Linked DNA regions of Bombyx mori. The protein of the gene in region 3 purifies or fractionates together with the protein of the main gene of each other region. This does not show direct contact. Links are inferred from orthologs where the notes say so. Each region holds a gene or a part of one and is shown on either strand. Other genes may lie near its edges. The genes, in order: paxillin, tensin-1 and tyrosine-protein kinase CSK.

What was found.
Region 1: the proteins of tyrosine-protein kinase CSK (region 3) and paxillin purify together in Homo sapiens (affinity purification with mass spectrometry; 4 studies listed by BioGRID and IntAct, with this or other methods). This does not show direct contact. The link is inferred for Bombyx mori from reciprocal best matches to the Homo sapiens genes CSK and PXN.
Region 2: the proteins of tyrosine-protein kinase CSK (region 3) and tensin-1 purify together in Homo sapiens (affinity purification with mass spectrometry; 6 studies listed by BioGRID and IntAct, with this or other methods). This does not show direct contact. The link is inferred for Bombyx mori from reciprocal best matches to the Homo sapiens genes CSK and TNS2.

What each region holds. Positions count from the first base shown.
Region 1 is NC_085116.1:14,644,815-14,650,699, forward strand, and holds part of paxillin, read left to right. Parts: intron 1-554; exon of another isoform or gene 555-2,637; 5' UTR 2,638-2,702; coding exon 2,703-2,859; intron 2,860-5,885. UniProt on the Homo sapiens protein: Cytoskeletal protein involved in actin-membrane attachment at sites of cell adhesion to the extracellular matrix (focal adhesion). Recruits other proteins such as TRIM15 to focal adhesion.
Region 2 is NC_085110.1:9,738,539-9,744,898, reverse strand, and holds the start of tensin-1, read right to left. Parts: upstream 3,895-6,360; 5' UTR 3,812-3,894; coding exon 3,677-3,811; intron 1,886-3,676; exon of another isoform or gene 1,647-1,885; coding exon of another isoform or gene 1,569-1,646; intron 84-1,568; exon of another isoform or gene 1-83. UniProt on the Homo sapiens protein: Tyrosine-protein phosphatase which regulates cell motility, proliferation and muscle-response to insulin. Phosphatase activity is mediated by binding to phosphatidylinositol-3,4,5-triphosphate (PtdIns(3,4,5)P3) via the SH2 domain.
Region 3 is NC_085127.1:9,182,212-9,188,096, reverse strand, and holds part of tyrosine-protein kinase CSK, read right to left. Parts: intron 5,777-5,885; exon of another isoform or gene 5,645-5,776; intron 5,423-5,644; exon of another isoform or gene 5,194-5,422; coding exon of another isoform or gene 5,102-5,193; intron 4,363-5,101; coding exon 4,216-4,362; intron 2,745-4,215; coding exon 2,654-2,744; intron 1,999-2,653; coding exon 1,879-1,998; intron 1-1,878. UniProt on the Homo sapiens protein: Non-receptor tyrosine-protein kinase that plays an important role in the regulation of cell growth, differentiation, migration and immune response.

The DNA.
Region 1 (5,885 bases), on a different chromosome or scaffold from region 3:
TCACGAAAACAATTAAAAATCGTTGCTCATTCAAGTGATAAACATTCGTCAGCTTACGATTTGTCAGATTTATATTGATGACTGGCTGACCCGGCAGACTTCGTAGTGCCTCAATCGATAAATAAAATACCAAAATTTTTGTATAAAATAAACTTCAAACAAACAAAAGGAATTCGTCTGACGCGGGACACATCAAAGGAAAAACAAAATTGTTACATATTTTTATTTAATTCCGAGCAATTTCATATTTATCTACCTTTTAAACCTTCTCTGGATTTCCACAAATAATTCAAGACCAAAATTTGCCAAATCGGAGCAGCCGTTCTCGAGTTTTAGCGAGACTAACGAACAGCAATTCATTTTTATATATAAAGATTTATTAATATCTTCTATTCTTAATTCAGTTTTTTAAAACGTATACATGATGTAGTATTTTATGGTTCAATATGGCCTTCGAGTAGGCTGGTGGGTGCGACCCACTCGGATGGGCGTCGCCCACTAAGGCAAACGAACAAAGAGATGTTCTTTAAAAAAAAAAAACTGCATTTGTTTTTGTAATCAATCTACTGCTTCCACAAAGAGGTTTTTGTACTGTTTGTGGTCTGAATTCCAAGTGTGGGATCGGTAGTGGAATAGCAAATTTACTTTAATTATTGTTCGTCGGGTAATCCAAATCGTTATCGCTCACACCTCTAGATTTTTATTATTTTTATGCATTACTTTTTCTCTTTTGTTTTATTGGTAAAATTGTTTCATTGTAGAGATAAAAAAAATTAATCAATTTCCAATGTTTTAATCGATAACACCAAAAGCTTGTCAGTGGCTACTAATAGAGAAATAGAAAATTTGTTGAGAAACACAGGTGAAAACGGTAGTTAACTGTTATTTCTTTACTTATTTGTAAATACATATTCAGTAGGTGCAGTCTTAATTTGTATTAAAAATTCACAATATTCCTTCGTTTCACGAGATACTATGAAGATAGTGATAAATGCAAGAAGATGTCTTGCGAAAATTTTATATTAATAACTATGATTATTTAATGAACAATTTTTAAATGCGAATAAAATATCAATAGTATTCTGATATTGTATTTCAGATCGCAAACCGCTGAATGATTCGCGTTAGAAATAGGCGGACTGGCAAAAAAATTCCCTGCTTGCTCAACCGCCCTGCCTATTTCTGCCGTGAAGCAGTAATGCGTTTCGGTTTGAAGGGTGGTGTAGCCGTTGTCACTATACTGAGACCTTAGAACTTATATCTCAAGGTGGGTGGCGCATTTACGTTGTAGATGTCTATGGGCTCCAGTAACCACTTAACACCAGGTGGGCTGTGAGCTCGTCCACCCATCTAAGCAATAAAAAAAAATCAATCGTCAATTTATTTTTTTAATAAATAATTAACCAATTTTGTTAAAGTACACAAATACATGTTTAATATATAGGTATATGTAATGTAATTTAAAGTATCTCTGTACGCGATTTTAAGTCTTGTCTGATCATTAATAGGTCACAAGACAAAGACAGCGTTGATCTGTAAAATTTACGACTATTGACATCGACTGCGTCTAGGAGTAATAAAATCATTAGACACATCATTAACCACGGAACACACTTCATTGGTTATGTTGCGTGTTTGAACTAATTTCGGGATTTATTTTTTAAATGTATCTTGCCCTAGATGATGGTAGATTGTGGTAGAATTTACCAGCGTTATAGTCATCGTTATATTATTGTCTCTCATGAGACATGAGGTCGTAGCCTCAATTGTATTTTATAATGGCTGTCGTTCTCTTCAGACAGGAGCACACAATTGTTTCATTGTTAAAGTAAACAGGATAATTATTCTTACCCCGGCAGACTTTTATATACGCCACCAACATGAGTAATTACGGAAGGGCTTATGTTTTGTGGGATTTTTATTCCTACATCATGAAAATGTGAACAAAGGCTGGTAATTTGGTTTTTTCTTCAAAAAATTGGTATGTGGCATTCGAAATTCGAGATGGTCACATCACTCAGTACATTGGGCTTCTTATTCAAGAAATTAGAAATTCTTAGTATTTCTATCGTCTTATTGTTTTGATATGATTATTAAGAAATCCACGGTAACCAAAACCGCTGTTTTTGATACTAATTAGTAAATAGAATCATGAAAATGTACAAAATACACAAAAAAAGGGTAGAACCTCTATAAAAAACCGATAACTCTTAATTTAAGTTTTGTCCTTAGTAACCCAGTTTCTGCATCGGCCGCTAATACGAATTTGTTGTTACTCCGCCATAAAATCGCGATTCGGGTTAATTCTGTTTACTCTCGGCGACCACGTGAGTTCCGCGATTGACTATTGCAGGGCGCCGCCCGCCCACGCAACGCAGACACACTTGTCTCTTATGTAAGTCGGACGCGCGAGCCCTGCGCGGCCCACGTCCATCTTCTCACCTTCTATCGTAAATAAATGGGTTAATGAAGTCAGTCCGTGATCGGTTATGAAATATTATTTCGGAAATGACCACCTGACGGGAATAGAACGTCGCGTAACTCATACGTCTGGCTCGCAGTGTGACACCGCTATCAACGGTCATCGCTCGTTCAGATAACCCTGTATTACACCAAAAATAACTAGTCTTCTTGTAGCCGCGGTCCGACCACGACTGCCCGTCAATTTTAACACGTAACGCTTTATATACTAAACAAGAGGGATGGCTACGGTGCGCACGCGCTCTGCATCCCCCAAATCGGTCTCTTTCTCTCCTGTACTCGAACGGAAGTACAGCGTGGAGAGAGGACCTTCGACTCCCCCCGAGCTGAGATCGTCGGATTGGAGGAGATACTTCGCGGATTTCAGTGCATATCTAGGTGAGTAGATCGGGTCGGTGCTGGAAACGAACGAAGTTATGAGTCAGAGAGTGCTTCAGTTGTGCGGCCTTGTTCTATATCGGATGCTTGTTAATGAAGCTGTCGGTGGTAAAGAAATGTTGCGTAATTAGTCGATGTGCAAAAATGTATTCACTTAAGATCATGAGTACATTATAATAGTTGTCTATGTAAATATTAATTTTTTTTTCCTTACCTTATCGAGCTAACGTAACGTTGACCTCTTGGTTAACACAAATTATTAAATCTGATCTCTCATAGTTTATTAACATAGACATTAAATGGCCCAGCTCGGGTATGGCAACTATCAGTGTGCTCAGTGGGAGTTTCTTAACGTTTTCGATAGCGATATATTGGAACAGCGCCCCTAGCGTCAAACATTCCAACTCCATACAAATTTGAGTTAACTTTTACGCTATCGAGAACGTTAAAAAACTCGCACTAATCACACTGATCTTATTGAAACAAAAATTTCAGTTGCATTGGTGGAAAACTCTTATTTATCAGATATATGCAGGATGGCACTACTTATCCGTGCTGGGTTATAATATATCCTACAAGTGAATGATGGTTGGCGATACACAGAACATGCGGTCGGTTCTTCATCGAATATAATCCTTTAGTCGCCTTTTTTAACAGCATTGGGGAAAGGGGTAGTGCTATCGGAATCCACACAACCGTTATAAGATACAATATAACTGCTACTTCATATCTCAACGTTGATGATGTAATTTACGTCTAAGTCCGTAGTCCTGTAACAATCTAAGACCACGTGTCTGTGAGCGAGAGAAATAAAATAAATAATAATTTTAAAAAACTAACAGAATACGCTTTTATAGAAAATCCAACTAAAAAAAAAGAAAATAAATTTTAATAAATTCGAATTAAAAATAATGTAAGTAAGAAAAAATGATTTTATTGTAAAAAAGCGTGGGGTGCTTTTCAGGATATTATCAAAATAACCCTTCTACTCATATCTGTTTTTAAAATATTTATTACTACTGATACCATGCTAAATTTATTTTCTATTTTTTATTTGGATTTTCTATAAAAGCGTGTTTTGTTAGTTTTTTAAACTATTATTATTATGACTTTTTAGTTGAATTATAATTTTTTCAATTATTATTTTTTTCAATTTTTTTTTAATATTGAATTGTCATCGATCCTTAATAATTATACCAAATTTCGAGTTAAATCGGGATGTCAAAATCATGTTCAAAGATTCCGTTATATACTAACATACATATTACGTCTGAAGCTAATAAAAGCGTATTAATAAAACGTCACGTCTTTCCGTCGAGGGAAATAAAAATAAAAACTAGATCCTTTATGCTTTTATATTCTGTGATTGAGTTCTCGTAAGTTTTCGTATCGAAGAGAACGCGCAAACCTGCCCGTATCGGTTGATCAAGGCGAAGTGTCAAACGTGGACAGGTAACCTTGCGGCGTCGGGCGTCGGCGACACTACCGCAAATTGTTATCAATACTTAGACCATAGTTTACTATTGCTCGTATCGGTTACGGCCTTATTTTGTTTACAATCCTAATATAATTATAATATTACTAGCGACCCGCCCTCGCTTCGCTTCGGAAACATTAAAACACACATGAAACGAAAAAAATAAAATATTTTTTTTTTTAAAAAAAGTAGCCTATGTTCATCAGGGACAATGTCGGCTTCTAATGGAAAAATAATTTTTCAAATCGGTCCAGTAGTTTCAGAGCCTATTCGAAACAAACAAACAAACAAACAAATCTTTCCTATTTATAATATTAGTATAGATAGTGTACATAATGCATTTTAGGTTTTTATTTGTCTGGATTTATGGAATATTTCAACTAGATTATCTTAGTTGTTTTAAAGGTCTTTTATGTATTGCTTAGACGGGTGAACCAGCTCACGGTCCATTTGATTTTAAGGTAGAGCCATAAACATTATAGCCCGAATGCAACCAATAATTTTAAGTCGCAAGCTTAAAGTAATAATATTTTGTAACAACCTCCATACCCTTCAAGTTTGAATTACTGCAGAAATAGACATGACTAGACGTGTCTGATTTTTGTTACACCATGTTATTATATTATTTTATCGTTAAATTAGCGCGTAAAAGGTCGTTAACCGTGAACCGTAAACCACTGAGTTTTTCGCCGGATCTTCTTAGTGGGTCACGATTCCGATTCGGTGGTAGATTCCGCGAAACACTGCCCTTGCTAGGGCCCGAGTTAGGAATTCGCTCAGGTCGAGCCGGTAGCTCAGCTGCGGTCCGTGCATAGTTGAAATAGCCTATTAGGCTACAAACGATTAGATAGGCAAAAAAAGTTAACAGTAGACATAGATTTGGTTATTCTCTTGCCTCTTTGGCTCTTCTCTAATGCCTATGAGTTGTCCACAGTCAGAAACCGCGCCGTGATACTCTTATTGAATCTCTTAGTAAAATATTGCTTTAATAAAACCGTAAGGCGTTTTTGTATTTTCGAGACACTAACTAACAGTGCTTCAAAGGCAGTTAGTTGAAGTGGATGAAGGGGTTAAGTACCATTTTTAAGATTTTTAAGTTTTGTCATTTAATGAAGGTGTTATGTGCTTATTAACCATATTAGACCTTAAAACTCTAGGTTTAAAGGCTATTTTTAGATATTTCATGTGATAAAAGAGTTATGTACGAAGAAAAAGTACAAGTGACAAAAGATTGCTGTCCGTTTTCTTAAAAATTACAAATTTTATTATATCCCCCTTCATTCACTCATGTCTTCAGGTATTAGCATTAGTTCGGAAAGAGTCCTTGGCGATACAGCGGAACGATCTATATACTCTGACCGCCAATAGACACAATCCATTGAGTTTCTCGATGGACCTTCTCAGTGGGTCGCGTGTCCGGTCCGGTAGTGGATTCAGCGAAGAATTCGTCTTGCTAGGGCGGGTTTAGCAAATTCATTCAGGTTGAGCCCCGGGAGCTCGCCCACCACTCACGGTAAAGCCAGAATAGGCACTCGAGGCTACTGGAAGA
Region 2 (6,360 bases), on a different chromosome or scaffold from region 3:
TGTTTACATCGGCGTTGTGAATGTGCCGGTCACGCGAGCGTCTCTATGCACAGGCGCTTCGCTACTGAAACTGAGCAGAGCCGCGCACCCAGCAGCTGATCTGGGCCCGGCGCCCATCACTAATCTCAGGTCACACGATACTTCAGCACCACCCGGTTACATGTAAGTGTGAATGCATATTTACGATCTCGGTACTGATAGAAGAGACGCTTAGACCATTTATGATAAGAAATTAAATATTAAATCCAATATGTATTATTAAATATAAGCAAAAAAGTAGGCATGTTTATGAAACCGAAACAAATTTATTATGAACGACTACATTTTACGTTACAGTTGATACATATACCTACTAACTCTAAGTATTGTTTTGACGTTTTTTTGTCTAGTCTAGGGTAGTCCAGTGGATGTCCACAGTCTAAAGAAAAATTACGACATAAAAAATAACGACGTGTTGTGCCATATTAAATATTATACAGTCATCAAGGACAAAACTTAAAATTGTAGTTTTTTTTTAAACTGCAAACTACATTTTATGAATTTCATTTTCTTTTAACTCCGACACAATTTTAAATAGGTTCTGCTGCACAAATATGAGGGCAATGGTTTGGACAGCTGGTCTAGTCGATTGGTTGATAGGCCTAACTAACTGTATATAATTTTGGCCTCAATTCCCTTTCATTATTTAATATTAATTAATTAATTCGTTTCAAGTGATCAATTTTTAGGAAAAATCATAGTTCGGGGCTACATAGACATACGTAATTTTTATAAGAACAGAAAACGATGACTTCTGTATGTAATTTTAAAAAGTAGATTTTTTTATTAATAACACTAATATTCATCTGAAAGCTTTTCGGGGGTCACCGCGCTATTTAAAAAATGTCGAGCATCCATTTGAAATAAATGTAACAATCTCACTAAAGCCGTGTTATCGGTGCCATTAAACAAGGACTACGCATTGAACTATTATTGAGAAAGCATCCGAGCTTAAGTGATACATTCATATCATATCACGCGGACGTTATGACCACGAAAATGACATTAACACAGAGAACACTTTGAATCCATTAAAATATACATTGGGAATTATGCGCCTGCCAACCGACCTTTACAAACACTTTGATTGTTTATACATATCTCGAGGGCACACTTACAGTTTAATGTACGATTTATATTAACTTATAATGACGTCGTATATAAGTATATTAAAATGAAAGTGGATTAAGACTAGTTGACATTGACAAACACAAAATACGACACTCTTAAAACGGATTTAAGCATTTAATTATTACTTGTAAAAAACTCGAACACTTTTTAATGTTTAAATGTGTAACACAATTAACAAATTAAATAGGGATGACATACCTATAAAGATATTTTAAAATAATGTACCATTTTTTTATTGCATTTGCTATTGAATATTGTAATGAAACTTAAAATAATTTTTTTCACTACGAATTGATGGTAAACTAACTCCTCATCTTTGCTGATGATCTTTGATACTTCATGATTTTAAAATCACAAGCTTTGTGTATTCATTGCCATATTACAAAAACAAAACATACCCGAGTCAACAAGTGAAGTGGAGAACTGACCACTAGCTGCTCTAGACGATCGCGCGACCACGGACATTTCCAAGGCATTTCAATAATTATTATTAAATTTACTTTAAATTGAAATTTATGAGTGTTAAAGGACTACATTATTTAAAAAAAAAACGATATAGTACTTTAAGCTTTTTTTCATTAAAATCTGTTAACATTTGTTCGCGCGCACGTAGTTCTCAAACAAAGTATAATAATATGTATGTTCGCAATCGGATTACGATACGCAACATCTCACGCATGCGCGCGAACACGGGACCGTTCGACACGGTACTGGCTACTGGCACCCTGTCCTCCAGGAATCGAATCCCAAGTATTCCCGGCTTTTGGGCGCACACCTCCCGCTGTGAACGTGATTCGCAGAATGAAACAGCGAAAAAGTATCATAAAAATATTTGAAATTATACTTTATTTTTAAAAAACATGTACTTTATTAATTTAGTTTCTATGTCATGTTTAATTTAAATGAAGAAAAAAAGGTAATGAAATTTTTGATCTGAACACACTAAGATTTAAGGAGAGTCCCCATCAGCAGGTAGCGGCTTAACTATGCTCCTGGTATAACTATGTCCACGGTGGCTACTTGCTATCAAGTGTACCGTAAAGATTCAGTAAATTTGTGTGAGCTTCGAATCATTTTTGCTATTGAGGTTAGGCAGACTTAGATCCTCTGCTGTGAATCAATTATGTGTGTTTTTACTGTAAATGTGCAGTTGAACTCACGGCCTACTTAGTGTTAAGTTGTAATCAGACCCCACAAATATCTCAACGTGAATGTCGGCAACTTTTTTTAGACAAGACTTTTTCCGATAAGTCTTACCACAAATTCACGGATCACCTCTACATCCACGATACAGGAATAACACCGTTGTAATAAATATCAAACCCAAAAAAATATATTCTGAATTATTTCTGGAGGTCAGCCGTCGTGTGAGCTCTCGCGAATAAGTGTGACCAACACCCTGCCTATTAATACCGCGAAGCAGCAGTGCGTTCCCGTTTGATCATGAGACAGCCGCGATACTATGCATTTTAGACTTACACCTCATATCACCTCATGGGTTTCGGCATTCACGTAGTGATGGGCCTGATATCGTTCACCTGTCTTCACGATAAATAAAATAAAAACATACGTTCGTCAGCCTATCTACCCCCCCCCTAAAAGTTGGATAATGTTTACATGTTCTCTAATAAATTCTAAAACAGAACAAAAATGTTTCTTTGCCAAACATTTATTGATGTTATTCCAGTTGACCTCTTCGATTAAATGCCGACAAACTGCTAATTGGGCTATATTAGCAAACGTGATGTAGGCATCTCTCTAAATCAGGAAATGAGGTCAAAATGAGGTAATCATTATTGTTTAATAGATCAACGCTATATTACAAAATGTGTAAATATCGCAAGGCTATCATTAGGATTTTCACGTTTCACCTGCATATGGGGATCTCAAATGGAGTAAGCAACTTAGTTCTTTTTAATATTCTATTACGCGAAATGTGGTGTTGGCGTTTCGCCCTCTCCAATGGAATGATGTGATACGAATGTCAGCGAAGACCGCGATGGGGGGTTGTTTTACTACCTAGTTAGTGCTCTATTTCGTTAGGTACTTATGAATTGGGCTGCATTTAGTTTTGTGTGTCAAAAACCATACACGACACACTGGACGAATAGGGTTTTAGTTTTCTTCCTATAAAATATTTTTTGTCATAATTTATCTTTTGATTCAAATAGGTTGAAAATAAATCAATAATAAAAATATAAACTTTAAATGAAATTAAGTACTCACCCAGTATCTTGGAACGAGAACTTAGGCGGAAAAATAAAACGAACATATTGTTATAAAATATCCATATCAGAATGCTTGTTTTGTACGACCTCTTATTGTTAGTATAATTTAGAAAATTGTACATTTTAATAATTATTATTTAGTACAAAAAATAATTATGATGGGTATCTTCACTACCGGAAAGAAATCAGGCATAAAATCCGTTTTTTTTGACCGATATCTAAGAATTGATTGAGAATTTCGTACGTGAATTAAGAGTTAACCCATTAAATTAACTTACCGGCAATGTTTCTAACACGAGCTCTTTAGTTTTCCAGCACAGCCATGATGGAAGCTTCATAATCACTATTACGCTAATTACAACTGAAACGGTTACAAGGACAATTATCAAATTGTATTCTTCTAATTGGTACATAATAAGTTATTCGAATCATAGAAGAATGAATTTATAAGGCCATAAGGTATGTAACCGTATGAGTCTCTATGCTATCCCATCATGTACTGCACGCCTGTTCGGGCCACGCCGCTAGCAGCATATTAGTGAGAAGTTGTTAACATAAATTAGGTCTAATTAACTACTTCCAACTACAAAATTTTCGATCGCCTAGATTAAAGTACTTCGGAACGTTCAAAAAAACAACAACATAGGTATTAGGTATACGAGTATAATTGCTTTAGATACTTAGCATAGCGTGCCTTATTTATAGTTGCTTCGTTAAGTACCTTAATTTGGAATTACGCTTCTTCTATCTTTTCCCTAACTGGAGATCGATAAGACCTGAAAGGCTAGTTTTAGAGTAGGTAATGTGCCATAGGGGTCGGCGAAGACAAAAGTATTAGGCATATAATTATTGCTGTAGATACTTTGCGTAGCGTACTTAATTTATAGTTGCTTCGTTAAGTAGGTACCTTAATTTGAAATTAAGCTTCTGCTATCTTTTCTCTGAATGGAGATCGATAAGACCTAAAAGGCTAGTTTCAGAGTAATGTGCCATTAGGGTCGGCGATGACAAAGTACATCCTGGGAAAATGGGTTGCGCTCGCACTCGCGCTAATTCACTTAACGTCGAGTCGAAGATAAAAGTGGCGCTATAGATATGGATAACCCATGTTGGCATACCGGTTGTATTGACCTGCTTATCTAACTCATACGTTGCTTTCGTTTATTTAGTTGAAAATTCGTGAAAGTAGCGCTCAATAGTCCTGGCCAGGCTTGAATCATAACACTGGTAAGTGAGCACTAAATGGGGATGCGATTGCCGTGGCCTTCTCCAAAATGTTACAAAGTAAAAAGATACGAAGCGCTTTTAGGCAGTTCATTCAGAAGAGGCTCCATAGTTCTCTAAAATTAATACCAAGTTCCATTTCCAGCTGTGAAACGATGCATCCATAACGGTTCTTTCTTACCTGGAGCCTGGTAGGACGTAATTCAATAGAAGATGGCCGGCAAAGGATTATCTTTATTAATTGAATTTTTATATTTAATCATGTATATTTCAAAACCCGAATTTTCGGTTAATAATAATTATTAAAGACACTTACCAAACCATTCCGGTAACCGAGATAAGTTCTAATATTCAGTCTAACGAAACGACATACATTTTTTTTAGTTTTAGCTTCATAAGACAATATTTAAAAATAGTGCTCAAATAAATAAAAAAATATAATTTGGAACGGTATTCGATTACAATTAGTCAATAAAATACTGTTTATTTAGATATTAATATATTTTCGAATCTAAAATGTACAAAAAATACAACTTAAATTTAATGTACTCGTAACGACTGCTTTTTTTATGAATAAAAACATTACGATTCGAATATATTGGAAATTTTGGTACCAAACGGCACACACTTCATGGCTTGAATAATTGACAATAAATACCAAGTACATGAACCGGAGTAAGCTACTAGGAACATAAGGAGAATAAGCCATCGAAAAAACTCCTTAAAACAAAAGTTTGCCAACATTTCGTCAAATCATTTTTTAATCCAAATTAGAAAGTCGATTTTTCAAATTTCGTATATTTCGAAAAAAAAAAAATATAACCTATGGTACAGCTGTACAGATTTTTGTATAATCTAAAATAAACATAACGATCTAATTTAAAATTATTGTTTAATCAACCATCACTTTTATAACAACTTTGGTTGTGTATGCTAATCGTAAAAATATAGGTATTTTAGATATTTACAATTTATATAAACACATACGTACATAGGTAAAATGCACAGCAACACAAAAATGGCCTTAACTATTAGAAGAACTAAATAACACAGACTTAACGTCGCTCACTTAAATGATTTGTTTGGAGAAGAGGACTAGTCTTTGTTTTCATCACAGTTAGCAAACAAATTGTCTCGATATCTCTACGTACGTGAAAAAGAACGCTTCCCAAAAAATCTTTTAAGTAAATGACAGACGTTTAAATCACTTTGCAGTGTTTTAAGGAAAACATAAATAGCATATAGGTATAATAATAATATAACAAAAGTATCAACCTATTTTAATATTCACAATACAAAAATACCCTTTTCTCAGACGACAGGCCAAGACAAAAGACACGATTTTATACAAACAAATAAAATCGATTTCGTACGGGAGTGTCTTTAATGTGTTAGCGACTGTCATCCTTTCTAATAAATATTTTTATCACACATAACTTATCCTATAATGAGGAATTTCTTTATTATTATTGACAAACAGCACAAAACGGATTATAAAACTACATGAAATAATATTAAACATTATTAATTGTAACTAATTATATTTTCCCACAGAAACAGAGATTCCCGTACGGATCCATGTTTCTTGACACCGAATGCAAAGTGATCGGCTGTTCTACGCCACAGAGTCAATTCGTGAACTATAAAAATATTTCTATTATACATCAACAGTATCACAATTGTCAATGCAGTCCAATTGTAATCTTCCTGCAACGTTGGATGGAATTTTGGACCCTTA
Region 3 (5,885 bases):
CGGCGACCCTTAATCAACACATACATACGATAGTATTCACGTCTTAATTGTACATGTAATTAATATATTAGAGCCCAAACGTTCATAATATAAATAAGATTTCATAGTTTGAAAAGTTATTTTATGGCACTACTATAAATCCAGTTAATAGTAGTAGCCTTGAAGGTCAAGTATGTAAAATGAATATAATCTATACTAATATTATAAAGCTGAAGAGTTAATCTCAGGAACTAGGGTCCGATTTGAAAAACTCTTTCAGTGTCAGATAGCTCATTTATTGAGGAAGGCCATAGGCTATATAACATCACGCTAAGACCAATAGGACTAAGTGAAGCACCAATAAAGAATGTTTCAAAAAAATTCCCTTTTGAGAGCTTACGCTATATATATACGCCAAAGTAACTATTCCACGTGAACGAAGTCGCGGGCAAAAGCTAGTATGTCATAAAAAGTATAAGGTGATTGCTTGACGTGACCTTCATCCATGAACGGATGGAGCTACTCTTTATGTTATCTCGCTTATGTATCGATCATAGTATAACAATACATTGTGCTGACGAGTGTCACAATAGGTGGTTTGATTGCACCTAGCGTTGTCTTCCAGACCAAGTCGGGATTCGAAACATAATTTGGAACTAATGTCCGGAATTTCATCGTAAGCATTGCACAACGATTATAACGAATAAAAAATGACATTTCTACTCTATCTGAGACATTAGCACCATGGTCGTGCTCTATCATTGATATGGCAATGTTAAACGTCGGCATTCGTACACGTAGCATTCATGAGTAGCGGTAATATTTATCATCTTTGAGAAACAAGTTATCTATCAAACAATAGTACAACCGTCTTTACAAAATAATTATATGGATGGACGACAATCAAAAACAATTTCAAACGTTCACAGGGTATTAAATTATGAATGTAATTTATATTCTTTAACACAAAACAACAATGAAAAACGTTTGGTATTAATACAAAATTTAAAAACAAAAAAATAAAAATAAACTGTTATTGTAGTGTGGCAAACAAAAACGTTTTTATGGAAAGCAATCGCAGTGATTCATCCTCAGGTGTTGTCGCCACGTGATTACTTAATTACAATTGAACACGAAAACATAACATTTTATAGAATTTAATGTCTTATTGTCAAGCAATAGACCATTGTGTAGCGTCGTACAAACGTGTACTTGTAATTGCGATGTGAGAACGCAGGTTGTTATCTGACTCAGAAACGAAGTTAATATGCATATTGTATTATTGACACCTTAAGAGATTAATTAAAATTACTTGAAAAGTAAGATAGCGCCGCATTATTAAGTTTAATATTCAGTTATGTCTAAATTCTAGACCCTATTCTGGTTACGAGTGCAAACAAGAGGCATGCGAGATAACAATAAGTAGAGCGTGACACCGAATAGCTTTTCCGAGACTCGAGCCCGGATCCTGTGGCCAGTCACTAGCATGTAACTAAGCAGACAAATCAACTAATTATTTAAATTAATTCAATTCATCATCCATGCCCTTTTCAGGCCATTCAAAGACCATACTTTTCATTACATGTCTTGTTATGTAAAAAAAAAAAAAAACAATAGTCGATTGTAGTTTAATATTCTATGCTTGCAACGAAAAATGTTATTCTACGGAATTATAATTCAACTATATTAATTCTAACAAATTTGTTGAACATTTTGTCAGAGTGTACAAGTTTGGAGTTTCAATTAATTATAGTCGAATTTCGACTACTGCCGGACCACTAGTACTTATAAACCGTACAGTAGGTAGGCAGGCGAGTCCCTCACGACCGGGCATCCGTAAAAAAACGGATTCCCTAGCGTTGAAATAAAAAAAAAAGTAGGCGTGCGAGTGGCTTGTACCTGCGGGTGGGGCGGGTACTGCTGCTGCGGGGCGCCGTTGTTGTTGGTGCCGTTCGCCGTCGCCTTGGGGAGGCACCGCACCAGCTTCGTGCACAGCCCGTCCGCGTCCTGCAGGTAGTGCTGCCGACAACGTACATTATACATCAGTACCGGTCATAACGACTCGATACAACTAGCCACGGTCAAATGTATACACTAATATATAAGTCTATAGCGGTTTTTACGGATGTTATAAGTACTGAACCTTTATTTTTATTATATATTTATTTTATTGCTTTGATGTGTGGACGAGCTCACAGCCCATCTGGTGTTAAGTGGTTACTGGAGCCCATAGACATCTACAACGTAAATGCTGCCACTCACGCGAGATTTGTGTTCTAGCTTCTGTTTTAACAGTACCCTCGAAACGAAACGAATGTAGATGTTAACACCACGTGGACTGTGAACTCGTCCACACATCAAAGCAATAACAAAAAATACAAAACAATAAAGTCGGCCAACTTCAATACCTTCAACGGGATTGTGACGACGTTAAGAACAAATTTTTTCGATACAAAATGAATCTTAAGGTATCAGCTATTACGGTCGTATTTCTACTACTGGACAAGTCACTTACGATCCTCTAAAAATATTCACTAGAAATTTCGATCTCGCGGTTTTCAATCGTCAAGGATCAAGAAAAAATTGTATCTATACATATCGATGAACAAGTATGTTTGGACATATCTGATTAATTGAAAACACAACAAATAATGTTTTTATAAATAACACTCACATGAATTAAGTCCGTCATGTTATCGAAGAATTCTTCATCGTCTATGGTCAGACGTTGGTTTTGGTTGTCGGGCGCTGTCGCCCATTTTACTCTGAAACATGAAAAACAACATATAATATGTTACAACGTATTAAAAGTAAATTGGTTCTACCGGCCCGCGCGGATTATTATCACCGTCCTGCTTATCTTTGCCGTGAAGCTGTTTTGAAGTCGTTGTAGCCTAAAGTATAAGACGTCCGGTGCATTCGTATGTAGCGAAGCTCCGGTGTTCGAATCCCGCAGGCGGGTACCAATTTTTCTAATGAAATACGTACTCAACAAATGTTCACGATTGACTTTCACGGTGAAGGAATAACATCGTGTAATAAAAATCAAACCCGCAAAATTATAATTTGCGTAATCACTGGTGGTAGGACCTCTGGGACCACCACCCCGCCTATTTCCGCCGTGGAGCAGTAATGCGTATCAGTTCGAAGGGTGGGGTAGCCGTTGTAACTATAGTGAGATCTTAGAACTTATATCTCAAGGTGGGTGGCGCATTTACGTTGTAGATGTCCATGGGCTCCAGTAACCACTTAACACCAGGTGGGCTGAGAGCTCATCCATCCATCTAAGCAATAAAAAAAAATGTGTTCCGGTTGGATAGATGAAAGATCCATTAAACAATACAACAAGACTTCCAGCGTGTGACTGGAGATGGGTGGGATTGATGTTATGATCGTGTGATGCCAATGGACTCCGGTAGCGCCCTTGCACTAGGCGGCCTATAAACTACGCTACCCGTCTACACCAATAAAAAAATCAACACACTTGAAACTTCGACTTCAGTTCCAAAGTTGCCCGCGGTATTCATTTCATTGTACCAGTTCCTGTTACCAATTAACATCAGACAAGCGATGAGTTAACCCACGCTCATCCACGACAGGAAAATACAAATTTATTTCTACAATGAATCTATAAACGGCCCTATTTATTCCACTACACAAGGAGTGTAGCTAAGAGCCTAGTCGAGGTAAGCAATTTAAGATTAAGCACGTACGATGAAATGTTAATCGAAACTTGTCCACAAATATCCACACAATTCATATTTTACTCACATACTTTATTTATTATTTAATTTCAAACTGTCCGAAACACGGCTACCCCCAACGCCCCATTTTTTAAAGGAATTTTATGACCTGGCAACTAAGACCTTTAGGTCAAGTCTTATTTTAATTTTTAATTTTATTTTTATGAAAAATGATAATATGCAGTGAAATGAAGATGATTAATTTGAGACATGAATAAACTGGGATGGAATTAAATGAAATATAATCTCCGTAAAATGGGGGTCAGATTTTTTTAGTGCTTTTTGGATGATCCCGAGATGTTACGTTCAGCGGCGTTGTTTCATTTTCCCACATTTCTGCACTTTTACAGATATTAAACAGTTAATAAACCACCGTTATTACACATTTAAACCTGAAGAAACACTACATAGACAAAATAAAACAAATCACACAACTTCACTCCTCGCATTCCCGCCAAAAAGTCCTCGCCTCATTTTGAATCACAGTTCTAACCTATAGTGTTCCACCCTTCCTCGGAATCGGACGCACAGCGTGTGGTCTCCTGGGAAGTTAGTGCTCTCTCGCACCAAGAAAACCCCGTCCGGAGAGCCGGAGAGCAACGCCTCCGCTCGCTCCCTCGATATCGCGCCGTGATGCCATCTACAACGAAAACATCTTCATTTCAAACTTTATATATGTTACGGTCAAAGTAGATATTGCGGCAAATGTACACATTTTCCTCTTCGTTTGGGAAATGTGCATTTATTTACAATTTCAAAGAAGGAAAATGTACATTGAATTCACAATGACCATGTCGTTTTGGTAAATGTGAGCATGGCATACAAAATACGAAATCGCAAATGCTAGAGAGCACTTGCACCTAGCACCGCTAGGTTAGCGGTAGGCCGCGGCTTGGCTCTGCCCCTGGCATTGCTGAAGTCCATGGGCGACGGTAACCACTCATCATCAGGTGGGCCGTATGCTCGTCTGCCTACAAGGGTAATAAAAAGTTGTAATGTACTACAAACTAACCTAACCTATCACATATTATATAACATGCAAAGAAAAGTATATTTTGTTTGTCATTTACATTTTTTAATTAAAATAATTTTCGTTATTAAATCCTTTTGTATTATGTTTATTTAAATAAATATTTTTTTACTGCAACAACATTATTAATTTATTTGTATTCCAACTTTTCTTAAAGCATGAAGGTAAGAGTATACATTTACCAAAAAGTGAAGGCAATATATTATATACAAAACTATATTTACATCTGGGAATTTACATCCAAGTACAAAACTGACAACTATTGAATTAATAAATAAATTAATGAATCAATGAAAATATTAGAAATGTATGTAGCCAATTCAAAAAAAAAAACATCAAAACAATTTACTCATTTTCCGTTGGTTCATAGTTGATAACCGGTGGTATGCACAGTTTTATTTTGTGTGGTTTATAATAACACTCCGTAATGTCGCTCTCCATGCTTCGTTCGCTTCCAACGTATATAATGAAACGTTATCAACGAGATAGTTTACGTGACGTTAGATCCTTATCAATTAGTTGCAAAGGGAGTTAGTTGTAAAATCGACCTTCGCCGACAGCATTACGGTTTCTATTCACATAATTTTAAAATTTATTTAAATTCATTTAATAACAAAAACGTTATCGTGATAGCATTATCAAGTCGACAGATGATAATTGAATGTTAACGGTAGTGTTTTGTTTTCTTTTTACTCTAATATTTGTTTTTGTAAATCTAGAAGAACTCCGTGATTAATTGAATTATCTTTTTAAATCTTGCATAATATAAAGAGTATGGGAGCGTCGATCCCGAAGCAAGGCAGCAATATATATAACTACTTGAACATGAATTCAATTTGAAATGAAAATTTTATTGATTTTCAAGTTAAGATTTAAGTTTTTTTTGTTTTAGCATGTTCCAGAAACAATTGAAAAGGTAGCTCTGGTGGACATTCCATTGCTTGTCGTCCCGGGCAATAGTTTCGCATCAACGGTTTCTAATTGCAGTTCATTGCGGGCAATCCAATAAACAATGTTAATTACATTTAGTGTTTTCTTTCTTTAAGGTTCGCTGGTAAAACATTATAACATAGCATTAAGGCAATACTGGGGCTAGAGTACGCGATGTAAGCGGCTGCAATTAGCAGAGATTA